2 linked regions of the Arabidopsis thaliana genome follow. The protein of the gene in region 1 interacts with the protein of each later gene in a pairwise test. Each region holds a gene or a part of one and is shown in the gene's direction. Other genes may lie near its edges.

Region 1 (7,484 bases):
ATGAGATCTCTCCCGGTCAGTTTTCTCATTACTTTTTCGAAAACAAATAAAGTTAACATGATGCATATCTAGTCCATTTTTACCATATTTTTATACTAGTGTGTGCATAAAAATAATCTTGGACAGACTCAGAACTATATCATACAATATTATTTGGAAAGTATATTTTAAATGTAACCTTATCTTTTGTAAGTAATTATATAGATATGCAATTAGAAAAAAAAATTTAAAGAGTAAATTAATTCATCTCTTTAAGAATTAAAAAGTCAAATACTAATTTAATTAATTAAACTTAATTAAAAACGAAATACATTATTAATTTCCAAAAAAGTAACCAATTAAAATCAACAAATTGGATTTGATATCTAAATTATCATATTAATTTTTTTATTAATTATTATAGTTCACTTCTCATCTTTATATGATTCTATTTTTGCGAAAAATAATATCATCGCTATAAAAAAATAATTAGAATTTTTTCGCATATGCCATAATTTAAATTTTTAAAAACGAATATAAACTATTCAATACATGAAACAATATTATAACGGGTCAAAAATAGATTTAAGAAAACTTTCTACTGAGTACTGGGTCATAATATGAATATTTATATTCAATTTCATATATATTGTTTTGAAAATTTATAATCTTATATACTACAATAATTAATAACATATTAGATTTTTTTATGTGTATGATGTGATTCAATTTTTAATACAAGCTGGAAAATCCTAGAATTGACGGGTTTAGATCGATATTAATACAAGATGGTATACTACAGGTGAAACTCTAAAATTAACAATCAAAATACAAGTGTATAATTTTAAACACTAAACAATATAAATAATATCAACAAAACATATACAACTCGTAGTTTATTATACATTTAAAATCAAATAAAATAATATCGTATATTTATAATCATCTTTACAATAAAAGTTTTTAGTTTAACTAAAATATAAGCTTACATGCGGTATACTGCAAGTTAAAATTATAAATAAGCAAATTACCATCACGATGTTTGTACCTTCTCACATACACACCTATCAAAAACTTAAAACCTTTCAAGACCTCTTGGTATATTCAAATTAGGATTTCTTCATTCATGGAATCATTCTTCCAAGGGTTTTAGGATGTCCCATGAAATGATTTTGGCAGAAGAGGATGTAAAACTTTTCGAATAAAACGTAGACAGCAAAACATATGTTTTTTTGGGAGTTTTTAGATAATTAAATCAGAGAATGGGGCTGGGCATATGAGTAACCTATTCAAGTTCGGGTAGAACCCGTTCGGGTAGAACCCGTTCGGGTTTGGGATTAATGGGTATATGATTTACTACCCAATAGAATAATTCTAAATATTTGGTTCTGGTTCGGGTCGGGTCCATTTGGGTTTGCGTCAGTTTGGATAAAAAGTTTCAGGCCCTAAAAATACCCAAAAAAATTGAAACGGGTATTTTGTATGTAGATAGTGGGTCTCCAAACAAAAAAAACTTTTAGATTTGTTAAGTTTTAATAAATTTAATTATATTTGAATATATTTTACTAAATTTTGACAAACATAACACATAATTTTTGAATAGTTTAGTTGTTTTGGATATTTAGGTCCAAAATTAATTGACATATTTAGATTTATAATTATAATTTTAGATAATTAGATTATATTACGATTAAATATAATTAATATTTTGGATATTAAATTAATGTTTGGGTTTTTGAATACCCTCTTTGGATAAAGGGTAATTTCTGGACCAATCGGATATCCACGGGTTTACTAAAACTCTACCTAATAAGGAAATTTCCTAAAATTCTAACCCGCTCTAACCCGGTTTTTTGGTTCGGATAATGGATTGGTTATCGGGTCTGTTTTTTCGTGAGCCCTATCAAAGATAATCTAATATAGGGCCCAATTAGGTTCACAAATATAACCAAAACATTATACAAAAACTAATTTTAAGTTAGGCCAAAAATTAGATCTTTTAATACAAAGGAAACATGTTTCTTACTAGAACAACTTGTATACAAATTTTACACATTTACTTAAAATTATATATGTTGTATTTATTATAAAAATAATATTTTTAAACAAATTCAATCCAATGCAGCATTATATCCAAATAGTAAAAACATTGAAAAATATTATGACAACACTTTTATATTATACTATTTCTTATGTAATTCAAATAAAGTATACAATTTAGTTTATACACAATATTAATGTCCGTGCTATACAGCACGGGTTATGATCTAGTAATGATGTAATACACAACCTTATGTGGGAAACCAACAACAAGTAAACTATATATCAATTCAAATGACAGATTCACTGCTACACCACAGTTAAAAACAATCAATCATTTCTCATCGAAATAAATCTGCCATCAAATAATTCCAATGAGTTTTTTTTTTTTTGGATAAAATTCCAAAGAGGTTACTAGTGTGCATAACTCCACGTGGTAAGTAAACCCATAGTGGATGAATGTTATGTCTGCAATTGATAATATGTCAATTTTGGGTTAATTAGTTTTTAGTAATTTTTTACCAATAAAATTATTCCACTTTTAGAAAATAATCACTGCAGATTTGTAACTTTCGTTCACTTTGAAAACTTTTATTGAATTGAATAAATTTAGCTAATCATGTTAACTATTAGATTATAATAAGGCCCAAAAACACTTAGATGAACCCGGTTAGTGGTTAATACTTTTACTATATGATACTTAATTACTTACCGATAGCATTGACAGATTAAAAAATACACAAAAGCTTTGTCAAACAAAGAGATTTGAAAGACGAATCAAATCTCTCTACATACAGGGAAAATTATGAATAGCTACATGTCACCATCTGTTTAAAGTAAGATCCAATGTTCTCATCTGTATCTTTTGACTATGATTGATGACTATGTGACCTATATCATATAAATACAACGTGGTAAATTGTTATACTCATTAAGCTACCATAGTCCATAATACACTTTAATTTCCCAATTCACGATTTCACATTACTCACTAATCTAACATTTTATGATCAATCTATTGAGTATTGAGGATTGATGAAACAAAGAACGAAGGTATACTTAAATGGAGATGTCATATAACTCAGAAAGAACTTCACATATACATTTATTAAAGGAAAATTAGTTTTCTTATGAAAATAATTAGCCATTAATTAGAAACTGAAAACTCTTAATTAGCTTTTTCCCATTTTTGTGTCGGCCATATGTAACGTTGGACCCATCAACTAGGTCACAATTGGCATACGACAAATATACATAACTTTAAACCATTAGATCTTTTCTCTTTCATTACAAGCTAAAGTAATTCAAATTTAGCTAAATAAATTTAAACTAAAACTTTGGAAATGTGGTTTAGATTGTTATCAAAAGCTTAAGTGGGTTTGATCTTGCCGATGTGGCTTCCAAAAGAAAAGTATTAATTGGTTGAAGAAAGTGACTTTTGTCATGCAACCTAGTTGTATGTCATGATGTGAAATTAAGTGGGAAACCAAAATTCATATTGACAAATCCACTAAACTCTTTAGATGATAAAGTAGAAGAGCGTGTGGAAGTTTCAAATATCATTTCCTTTAAGATTACACAACAAGAGAAAGGTTGATCCATCATAAAGACGAAATATTCTTTAAGTCATATACATGGTCTACAATTTCTCACTAAGATACAAAGTAAAATCGATAAATATAATAATGAACGTACGAGTGGTTTCCAAGTTGTTCTAACCAGGTGCTTTGTCAAGATCATCGATCTATATTCTTACCCGAAATACTTACTTAACTATTATTACAAAGTTCGAATAACCAGTTCTTTTACTTTGTGATTAGTTTGAGCTTTGGTTTGACTCAATAGAAGACAAAAGAAAGAATAGATGAAGGAGAGGACCACACGAGAAGCCAAAGGAGACAGAAATGGTCACTTACCTCGTGGAGTTATACAAAAGTAGACATAAACAGACCTGAACAAATTTGGATGGTCCATGAACAGTACTCTTCCTTTTCAATTTTTATTGTCATCTTTCTCTTCTGTCATTTCATCATGATGTACTTACTATTTTGAGAAACTGCTTCGTTTTCCATTGTCTTTTCGATCCCTTAACTTCTTTTAGAAAATGTTCATACTTAAAATATTAAAGGATTCCTTAACATGCACTACAAAAAAAAAATTATTATGGATTGTGGATTACCAATGGTATAGTACTCATTTGGTTTACTTAGATATTTGGTCATTCATAAACTGAAAATCTAGAAACCCAAATAAATCTGAACCGGAATCAAAGCGAAATTTAAATTCTACACACTTAATGTATTTGTTGGACTATTGAAGGAGGAAGCAGCCAAAAAGGGTAAGAGTCATATATATAGATAGAGGTATTTAGATGGTGGAGTTCCAATCAACTAGCTTTAAAGTGTTTTGTGAGAAGGGTGTGACAGCAAACCAAACCTACCTATCGCTCTCATCATAGTACTTTGGTCCACTTATTACAAAACCCTAAGAAAATGTTCTAGTGTAGGGTCTTTGTTTCCTTTGTCTATTCCTTTCTAATACCATCTACTTCTGCTCCCATTCACTGATATAAACCTCTTCTCATAGCTATTATTGATAGAAAGAGACAGAGAAAGAGAAAGAAAAAAATCATCTCCTGAAAAAATCTATCCCTTTTTAGCTCTCATGGACGCTTCAATAGTTTCCTCATCCACTGCTTTTCCATATCAAGATTCTCTAAACCAGAGCATCGAAGACGAAGAAAGAGACGTTCATAATTCTAGTCACGAACTCAATCTCATCGACTGCATAGACGACACAACGAGTATCGTTAACGAATCTACAACATCCACAGAACAAAAGCTTTTCTCATGCAACTATTGTCAAAGAACTTTCTATAGCTCACAAGCACTTGGTGGTCACCAAAACGCACACAAGAGAGAGAGAACGTTGGCGAAGAGAGGACAACGTATGGCAGCGTCAGCCTCAGCTTTTGGACATCCTTACGGTTTCTCTCCACTTCCTTTCCACGGACAGTACAACAACCATAGGTCTTTAGGGATCCAAGCGCATTCGATAAGCCACAAGCTAAGTTCTTATAACGGGTTTGGTGGTCACTATGGTCAGATCAACTGGTCAAGACTTCCATTTGATCAACAACCAGCCATAGGTAAATTTCCCTCAATGGATAATTTTCATCATCATCATCATCAGATGATGATGATGGCTCCTTCAGTAAATTCACGGTCCAATAACATCGATAGCCCAAGCAACACAGGACGGGTTCTAGAAGGGTCACCGACTCTTGAACAATGGCACGGAGACAAAGGATTGTTGTTAAGTACAAGTCATCATGAAGAGCAGCAGAAACTTGACTTGTCCCTCAAGCTTTGAGATTCTTTTTCTTGATTCTTGAATTTAGTGTCTTTTTACTGTTTTTTCATGTGATTGTTAGTACTATTTTGTGTATATTTTTTTCTAGTAAAGATAATCTAATGTACATCTTTTTCACATATCTACTTTAGTCTGAGATTTGTAAACTATTAACTATACATTAATGGATTTCAAGTAGACATCCAACAACCGTATAAAGTATAGAGTAAAGGAAAAAAGAGAAGAAAAGTGAATATTGAGATCTGTGGGAAGATTTGATTTCAGAGTCACAAGAAAAAGGAATTAATATTATAATTCAAAGTTAGGTTACCTAAAAGTTAGAACAATCATTCTATTTGTTTAAAAGTTGCTAATAAGACATTTAAACAGAACAAAACAGATAGAAATAAACTATGAAGACAGTTGCTGTGTAGGATGATTGTGACACTAAAAGCAAAAGAGTACTAGAAGAAAAATTAAACACAATATCAAATACAATTCTTTGGTAGTATATACCAAAATACATGTAACGTTAAATAAACTAATAAAGCATCCAATGGGGTTCTCTTTGTTAGAGATTATTAGAAGGGCATCACATTGCTCCATATGTAAGAAAACATTAAAAGACAAAACTTGTCATAGATGTTGCTATCATCACTTCACGCGTGTTTTCGACAAATGGTCGAAACAGTATTCACCAAATAACCAAGAACTTCTCTCGACTAGCTAATCGACAAACCAATCAGATCAAGAACAAGCCAAGATCGTAAGTAGAAACCGAAGCAAACTATAAATGAACACTCACTATGATCTTTGAGAGTTACAAGAGAATTGAATAAAAAAAAAAATCATCATCATCTATCGAGCTCAATCTTGGCTCTTGAAACAGAGAAGGTAATTGTTTTAATAAAGTACTCCCAAAAATGAGAACACACACACTCTCCCTTAACAAGCTGCTTAACCACGATATTGAGCTTGTTTAGCTCTAGAATTAACCCTAAACCGGTTTAAACTTAAACATATCTTACATATTTGAATTAAACAAGGGTCTGTGATTGTCATATCTTTCTTTTTTTTTCATCAGTAACCATGATTTATTCGAGGAAAGAAATATTTGTTTGTATCCATCAAGAAGAAAAAGTGTCAGATAGTGAACCAAAAGTGACACAGTTCCATAAATAAATCAAAGAAAAACAAAGTTAGACAAGCACACATGGTACCATGCAGACCATGCATATATAATGTAACCAACCTGATGAGCCCTTCAATTTATCTTCATCAGTTTGGCCCCAAAACATGTCCTACTTACACTTGCCTGAAGACATGACTTATATATATATAAGTTAAGCCTCACCAAATATGAAATAGGATTTTATTATTGGTTACATATATAGAGCAAAGCGTCTCTAATCTTGGGCCACAAGCCCCATAGCTGAAAATGACTAAGCCGAAAACGACATTCTCCGACAGTTTTGAAGGTCCAGTGAAGGATGGTCCAATGGATTCTTAAATTACTAAATTTCTAATTTTTCGGAGGTATGAATTTGCAGATTTTTGGAGTTGCCGGTAAAATCACGTAACGCAGCTCAATCGTTCTTTGTTAGTGGGATATGACCGTTATAGACCCTTCATTTACATATCAAAGTAAGATATTATTTTTTCGGATGATTTATTATATTGAATGGAGAGAGTTTTTTGCTCATTATAAATTAAGATGTTATGTTACATGTTTTGACTAACTTTAAACGCGTAAATAATTGTTTATGTTAGTGTTGTTGTTGTATCACCACCACTTGAATTTAATTGAACTCGTATATTTCATTTCATTGTTAAAAAAGGTATCAGTTAATAATATTTTGCATCTAATATTTATATATGTTGCCGGTTAATTTTAGTCCTTTGTATAGTTGTGTGTGTACGAAGATGCCTGTCGTCGAGGAGGACATTATATGTTCGTTGGTTCAATAATAGCTTTGACAAAAACATCCGATTTTGGGAAGTAAACAGCTAAACACCCACAATGTCCACACCACGATTAATTACATATATATATGCTAAAAAAGAAATAAAATTATCTTTTCAAAAATCTCTAATGCTCGAATCATAATGAAAAC
Region 2 (8,787 bases), on another chromosome or scaffold:
TTGTAAACAACAGAGTTTCTGATCTTATAGATGCGTACATACTTTTACTATTCGGAACTAGAATGGTTCAAACTACTGTATATTTAACTAATACAAGTAGTACTCTCTTCTCAATGTCTTTAGTAGCTAAAATGAGTTTAACGAGTGAAGCAGAAATAGTATTAACAATTGAAGTGTACTGCCATGTAACACGGTTTTAGTCGGTGCTGATAAATTTGATATTAAACGACATAAAATTTGTGAGATGATATTTTAAAAGTTGTCAACATCTGTTGCTATTTCTTATATAGTAATGGGCTTTGTCTACTTTTTTGTAGTGAACTTGATTAGTGTCTATAATTGATCTCCAAAGACAAATGATGGTTGACTTCCATTGACACTAATATTTACTTTCAGACATGTGGGGTTCAGTTTATACCTTTACAATTTGGATGTTTGTGAAAAAAAACAAAACTAATATAATAAGTAAAAGATGATATATTATTCTCGAAAGGAGAAAGTCCCCAGACAATCTATTATGCACACACCATTTGAAGAATTAAGTTCGTTTTAATTAATGGATATCAATTAATTGATTGAAACATCATTGGCAAGTTAATTAGTTACTTTTTTCGAAAAGTAAAAAACTGAAAGAATTATTTCATAATCATGCATATATATGAGAAGTGGAGAGTATGAATTATTGCTTCAATTAAATTGTAAGTACTTTCTCATTAGATGTACAAATAGATTGGGGGTTTATGGCAAAAGCTTTTCTAAACCAATCAGAAGAGAAAAGAATAGGGAAATGTCAATGTCACGCCTATGATCTCAGAACACACATACATGCATGTATATAAACATTTAAATTTCCAATACATGTGTGTACTATCTCTGCATTCCCATCGCCCAAATTGCGACAAAAGTGTGGGCTAACCCTAACATTATATACGTTTCTAGTAAAGTATGATCAGACCAACATTTTCAACGTTTCCTTCCTTATAACCAAAAATTATGCACGCCTTAATACTCAAAACTTCCGCCTTTTATATTTGCATCTTTGGTCGACCTTTTACCGATATAACCACCTTTTTTTCTTTGTCAAACACTTATATGACCACTTAAATGTTATTAATTGTGAGGCAATAAATAGTAGCTGATTGCAATATTTCGGAGCTTGATTCTTCATATGTTAAGTTATGCTGAATTTACAAAATAATGTGTTTTTTTCGGTAACCGAATGTTAGGGATTGCACAACCATATGAATAATTGCTTGTGAGATTACGAAATATTAACTAACTTAACCACTTAAATGTTGTTTGGGGGCAGGAAATACTAGTAGCAATAACACGATTGATTTTGCATTACATAATCTAATTCTATGATTCTTCGGATCGATTAGTAACAAATACTAATTAATATTGATATACAAGCTAAGGAGTTATTTTCAATTGGTGGGACAAAACATATATGATATATGCATTGCATCATTTTCGCAAGTAGGTGCATAGATATTTTCTTAGACATCTATACTTGAAATGAGAATGGAATATTATATAAAATCATATGTAGGTTTGAAATTAATTACGTGTGGAGTTTTGCTCGTGGCTTTCACCAATATGGTGTTCCTATATATACGTACATATTCATGGCGCTTTTAAAACTATCATTGAGAAACACTACATTAGTATATTGGCTGTTTCCCTTGTATAATTCTTAGTTAAAAAGAGTTTTCTTATCCAGCAAAAGCAATACAAACTAAAAATAAAATTGTAATCTAGAAAATAGCTAGGAAGATAAATCATATAGTTTCCTTATCCTAATCAATGAAATTCGGATACACATTTGAGAGCGTGCGTAAATTATTAAGTGATAAATGCCAAATATTTTAAAACAACAAAATAACGATTTAAGTTAAACGGAAATATAAAACTAGTATATTGATAAGCAGCCGGTTAACTCGGAAATTTTAACTACAAAAATAGAATTAATTTACTTTCGCTTTCATGGAAAGTCTAGACTTGGATGATTCCAAATATTCAAATGGAGGGGGAAAAAACAATCATATAATTGACTAAAAAGCTAATGATAACCAATCAATAAAAATGGAGCATCATGTTTATCTCTACATATACATACATGATACAAACAAACAAAACAAAGTATGTTTCAATTGAAATTAAATACTAATAATTAAAAAAAAAATTAAAAAAATAGGAAAGGAATTGTATAGAGAAACGAGAAAAAGTAATGGCAGTGGTAATTAAGGAATGACAACAACGGGTGAATGAGGCGACGCTTAATCACTCCCATGCACACGTCCCTTTCTTCCCCCCACCTCTGCCGCCCTCTCTCTCTCCTCTCTTCTCTTCCTCCATTGGGAACTGCGAATTCTATTGTCAAAGCTTTAAAACTTTTTTCACTTAAATTTTTTTTCAAGAGCTTCGTCGTTTCTTAACTTACTTGCAAACACATTACATGTGTCATCACGTGCAACCCCAACCCCAAAGCCTAAGCTCGCGAATCTTCTAATGTATGCCTCAATCTTCCCTTGTTCATACTAGTACTACAATATCTTCTTCCTAAGATTTCAAAATTGATCATGAAGTGGTTTGTAGTTTAGTGGTCATCGCTATATTGATCCAATCTCATATTTTTGTCGAAAGTTTTGTATAGTAGCTATAAATTTGATTCTTTAGTTAGAATTTCTTGTTCTATTTATATAGAAACATAAATGCCTATAGCTATTTTCATATATTAACATGTGCTTTTAATTGTATAGACCAAAATTTAATTGATTGCAAAATTAGGTTTGTAATTGTTTGAGATCAGATAGAAAAAGGTCCATCTTTAAGCGATAATATCCTCAAAACTATTTTGTCATCAGTCTTGTCTCCTTGTGACCACAAGGTCATCTTAGAGGTACAACGGTATAGATGCTTAATGTCTACGTTTTCTAGTAAGGGTGAGACCGCATGGTCAACCGAATTTCTAATATAGGCATTATCAAAAAGAAATCTTATATTGGATGTTGACAACAAAGATTTAATAATAACTCGCATCATTTGACTAATTAAAAATTAAAAAAGATCTAAGTGAGATGTATATTTTTATCAAAAAAAAAGAAGTGATATTTGTAAAGAAATTGTCCAATTCTTTTGTCAATTAATATTATGTTCAAAGTAATTTAACATTTGTTTAATATCTGGATCCACTTGTCAAGATTATGCATTTTGTGATAAATAAAAACAAAGAGTGCGGTATAGTGGTGGTACAATTCAATTGTTATGTGGCAATACAATTTATAAGAATATACGGAAAAGGTATAAAAAAAACTGTTTGTGAAAAAAATGAACTGCTTATTCAAATGGTGTTTAGGGTGTAGTTCCGAAACTTATTAAAAAAACTAATGTATGTTTATTTTATCGATCATAAATTTTATTCGGCCACTTGATTTAATGAAAAATTATATAAATAGTTATTGTCTTATTAAACACCGGCATATTTATTTTTATTTGGTTTGTGTTATCTGTTCTACACCATCCAAACTTATTCCATTTATGTTGCTGGTTCACTACCGCTGACTCTGTTATACTATTCAAAACCTAAAATTGTATATAACCCATTGGAGAATTTCTTTAAAGAATATATGTATCGCTGAATTGAAATGTATAATACACCACATTATATATATACACACAGTATTACCGAATTAATTAACGAAATTAATAGTAGACGACCTAGAGGCTACAATTAGAGCATTTGTTGTTTAATTTTTACCCTCTAATATATTAATATCCCCTTTCCCTTCTCACTCCTTTCACCTCTTCTCTCTCTATATATCTTCCTTTGTGGTATATAATACACAGCAACCCAACAATCAAGAAGATCAGATCATGGTGGGGTTTTTTATTTTCTCCTTATCAAGAATCCTCTGATCAGTCAAATACCCATCAATCAATCAAATCCCCAAACACTCCCAAAAAAAGATCAGCTTCCAATATTTTTCCCCTTCTTACAAAAAAGATGTCTATGTCGTCTATGTCCTCCCCTTCCTCAGCTGTTTGTTCACCGGACCACTTCTCTCCTTCCGACCATCTCTGCTATGTCCAATGCAACTTTTGCCAAACCATCCTTGCGGTACAAAATAACCTCTCTTCAATACTTTCTCTCTCATTTTTTCTCCTCCAACTTCTCATCTTCTTGATCTATACAAGATTAGGGGTTTTTTAAATTCATTGTTTCTTTTGTGTGCTTATAGGTTAATGTTCCTTACACAAGCTTGTTCAAGACCGTAACTGTCCGATGTGGTTGCTGTACCAATCTCCTTTCGGTGAACATGAGATCATATGTCCTCCCAGCTTCTAACCAGCTCCAGCTCCAGCTCGGTCCTCACTCTTACTTCAATCCCCAGGATATTCTGGTACTTAAACAAAATTCAAATACATAATCTTATAGGGTCTCATTTAGCTTATTGGAAGTAATCTCAAGCCTCAAGGATATAAATATTATTGTAGGAGGAGCTGAGAGATGCACCGTCTAACATGAATATGATGATGATGAATCAACATCCTACTATGAATGACATACCATCTTTCATGGATCTTCATCAACAACATGAGATTCCTAAAGCACCACCCGTTAACCGCCGTAAGATACTAATTCTTCTCACTTTTATGATATTAACTTCTATGCTAACCGTGTTTATAATTTGGTTGTGATGATGAATCGCCATTAAGACATGCATAGCTTTTCTTATTTAACTTTCACTGGATCTCGTTCAAACCCTAGCACCATTGAATTAAGTCTAGAAGGAGATTTTTTACCTTTCTTTTCTTTGTATACTAGAAGGAGACATGAGAGATTATGATTTTGTATATTTAAAATATTCATTGATCCATGAACTTTAGTATGTGTTGATTGTCTACATATCCTAGATGGCTTTTAGCGTTGGTAAACATTAAAATAGTGACGATAAAAGAAACGGGGAGATAGATTCATGGATCCCCCGGAAATCTAGCTAAAGAGAAAAAATCTATGTAATATGTTAGAAGATGGGCTTGTCTTTAAAAAAACATGATGAAGTGATGATGGGTTAGAGAGAGAAAGTATTTGTGTGAGAGAGAAAAAAGACAATGAAAGTAGTTTTAATGAGTGTTTGTCTCTTTCTGTCTGAGTTTTTGTTTTTTCGCTTTGTCTTTGCCGTTGAATTTCGCCATTGCCAGCTCCAGAGAAAAGACAGAGAGTCCCATCCGCATATAACCGATTCATCAAGTGAGTCTCTTATTTAATTTTTACAATCATTCATATTCTAACCATAACTGTGTAACATTAATATAATTCCTTGTCACGTTTTTATTTTAGGGAGGAGATCCAACGTATCAAAGCTGGTAATCCTGATATAAGCCACAGAGAAGCCTTTAGTGCTGCTGCCAAGAATGTAAGAACCTTATTTCTCACATCCCAAAAATTTATATTAAACTGTTATCCATTGGTTGAATCAAATTTTAATAATCAAAAGAGTCCTTGATAATCCATATTTATCTCTAGTTCAATAAAAAAATTATTTTTTTAAACGCTGAAAATTCTAGTTAGAAGTGATGCGTTTTAAGTATTCTTTGTTTTCCTTTACTAAAGAATTTAAGCCATTGATACTACTAACATCACAACTTGGTTTAGATTGCCGGCAGAAACTAGGGTTTGATTTTATCTATGCGTATAGTTGCTCTTGTATTAGTTGTATATATATTAAACAGTCATATATGTAGGTATAGCTGAAATTAGGAGTAAAGAATTTTGTCGGGTTATAACACAAGTTGATATGTGTCTTGTACGTATGTTGTTTATGTGTAATGCAGTGGGCCCACTTCCCCCACATACACTTCGGGCTCGTGCCAGACAATCAACCCGTGAAGAAAACCAACATGCCCCAACAGGTAAACCCTAATCTGTCGACATACCTTACATCTTTAATGCATATACTTTTATGTAATATCATATATACAAATATAATTTCAATTGATTTGGATCATATCTTAAACATGTGTGTAGGAGGGAGAGGATAACATGGTGATGAAAGAAGGGTTCTACGCTCCTGCAGCTGCTAACGTTGGTGTGACTCCTTATTAAAGAGATAAATATAATCGACTAAGTATTTGAGGAATTGAAATCCAATTTCTTAGGGTTTATCATGTCCAAAAGTTGTGGTTTCTTTTCCTTTCTTGAACTTATTTATATATATTATAAATATGCATGTGTCTTTTTCTGTTGTTGTAATCAAAAATCTTGCTAATTAATGGGGTTTCTTAAGTTAATTTTCATTTGTAGTTGTATAATTAATTAACTTATCAAAATGTTTTCTTATTATTACTGAAAGCCGAATTTGAAATTTAAATAATCAGACTTTTTTAATAGATTTTTACACCATCGCCATATGTAAAAGAAACTCAAAGGAAATTACAACCACCAATTAATCCAAAGCTTTTTTTCCTCCAGAATGAATATATCACAAAAATTTAACCGAAGAGAAAACAAGAGGGGAATGATCATATTACATTTCAAAATTCAAACTAAACTAAGAATGGAAATATGCACAAGCATTTGCTTCCCGAAAACATGTAAAACGATGTGATTCTGTTCAAATTTCTCCATTCAAAATCTGATTCTTGAGATTGTTGCATATGGTTCAATCTTATTGCTCCCATTAATGGTTTTATAATAGTGATATGGTATAATTAAATAAGAACTGGGGCATGCATCAAACGACAATTGTTGTCAAAATAGAGGGAAATTAAAAGTTAAGATAAATTTATTTCGTAAGATCAAAAATTCAGTGATAGCAATAAGCTAATCTAAAAGTGTATATCAGACTTAAATTTAACTCGTCTTTTTTTCTTTTGGTGCAATATAGAGCGGTGGATATAAGTAGCAAATCAAACAAAAATGACATTAGGATATGAGCAAGCATGATAAATAACAAAAAAAAAACGTTTTGGGTCAAGTGACTATATGTTATCAGGCCTACTAGAATTCGGCCCATTAATATTAATGACGAGTTTCCTTAGCAATCAGTGGGCCTGGTATACAATAATGCGATGATAATAAAATGATTTAAATCCTTCTTTTTTTTTTCTTTTTTTTTTTGGACTAAAAAATGATTTAAATCCTTAGCACCGGATCCCAACGGAAATTGCTTCTCAGAATAGTTTTCTTCAGTCTCCGACTATATTTATTTCATTTTCCGATCATCGTACTATACACTCCCCAACATCGAGTAAACAAGCTTAGTTGTCAATTTACGAGTTCCAAAAGAAGAATCCAACAAAACGCAGTGTTTCGTTACTTCTAGACCCATCTAATTTCTACGTGTTGTATGCAACAATGACGGCTTTACCCTTTCGCTTTCTAATGTGGTCCATGTTGTTCTGGACTTATAGGTCCATATGGGCCTATGTTGGGTTGGATAATAATTAACCAATAAGAGACCACGTAGAGACCCTCTAAACCAAATAGAGGCGTTGAAGCATGAGCACGAATAGAAGAGCGTTATGATTGAATGTCATTTATGGACGAGAGGAGAAATACTAAGAACATAAAATCCATTAACAAGCTCAAGCATTACATCAAACTCAATATTGAGAGAACAAAGGTTCTATCATGAACAAGCTCAAGCATTACATCAAACTCAACAGTGACAGAACAAAGCTTTTTCTCACAAAAACAATAGATAACAGTAGAAACAAACATATAAAAACATAGCAAACCAAAGAGATTTTTCTCTTTTAAAGTCTCAAATCTTCAAGAACATTGGAAACCATGAGGAACTTTCTTGCCACAATAGTTCAACAGCAAGGTTAGATCAATAGGAACATTGAGATTAATCCCCAAGACATTGGCTTTAAGAGCGGTGCAGAGACAAACCGCAGCTTCAAGATTAGCAAGACCTTGAAGAAGTGTACAACAAGGAGTCTTTGGTGGAGAACCAACAACAACGTTAACTAGGCCCAATAAGTCTGCGCAAACACCAAGCTTAAGTGTGTCGGTAGGACAAGTGGGTTTCACGGCAGGAGCCTTCTTAGGCGATTTCGGGGTTTTTGGGGGTTTAGGAGTAGTTGGTGGACATTTTGTGGAGGTTACAAAGGTGAAGAAAAGAAGATTAAGTGTAATAAGAAGAGCTGTAACTGCAAGAGCCTTAGAAGCCATTGTAACGTTTTGTAATGTTTTGGGATGAATGTGAAGGAGAGATATAGGACATGGTTTATATAGAACAAGTTATTACTAATTACATATACCGAGAGATAAAATAGCATGTGAGCGACTTAAGAAAATTAGAGTAAGAAACAAAACTATCCAGCTAGTTGGCTTTTGCAACTTGAGGTCTTGAAATTGATTAGACTATTTTTTAGGAATTGTTAATTTATTTTTCTATCACAGAAAGGGAAAAGACAAGATTTTTGTCTTGTTTGTTTGTGAAAGAAGAGGCTCCACAAACTTTGAGACAGAGTGTCTCTCTGGGTGGTATGCATCAGTTTGATCATAGTTGTGTAGATCCATTATACGTTGTTGATAAGATATTGTTTTACATTGCATTAGTCCCCATTCCTTTAGATTTTTTTATGAATGATAGATCTTTCAGCATCAACCGATTATATTTCCAAATGCAACTGGACAAGATAATCCCAAAAACAAAATTCAAAGAGTCTACATCTCATCATTACTCGTTTCCAATATTTGGTTTGGTCTAGTTTATCCAAATTTGTAAGATACCTTCTAGAGTGGTCCGTTTAGTATCCAAGAAAGAATTCATG

What was found. The genes of interacting proteins can lie anywhere in the genome.
Region 2: the proteins of ZFP3 (region 1) and AFO interact in binary tests that used the Arabidopsis thaliana proteins (3 or more experiments, as listed by UniProt).

Annotation. Positions count from the first base shown.
Region 1 is NC_003076.8:8,682,841-8,690,324, forward strand, and holds ZFP3 (zinc finger protein 3), read left to right. Parts: upstream 1-4,347; 5' UTR 4,348-4,683; coding exon 4,684-5,391; 3' UTR 5,392-5,575; downstream 5,576-7,484. UniProt on the Arabidopsis thaliana protein: Acts as a negative regulator of abscisic acid (ABA) signaling during germination and early seedling development. Involved in the regulation of vegetative development and fertility. Modulates red light signaling in seedling photomorphogenesis.
Region 2 is NC_003071.7:18,625,772-18,634,558, reverse strand, and holds AFO (Plant-specific transcription factor YABBY family protein), read left to right. Parts: upstream 1-3,779; 5' UTR 3,780-4,006; coding exon 4,007-4,120; intron 4,121-4,130; exon of another isoform or gene 4,131-4,241; coding exon 4,242-4,403; intron 4,404-4,497; coding exon 4,498-4,630; intron 4,631-5,205; coding exon 5,206-5,254; intron 5,255-5,344; coding exon 5,345-5,420; intron 5,421-5,838; coding exon 5,839-5,916; intron 5,917-6,031; coding exon 6,032-6,109; 3' UTR 6,110-6,307; downstream 6,308-8,787. Other genes in the region: AT2G45180 (Bifunctional inhibitor/lipid-transfer protein/seed storage 2S albumin superfamily protein), read right to left, coding at 7,778-8,182.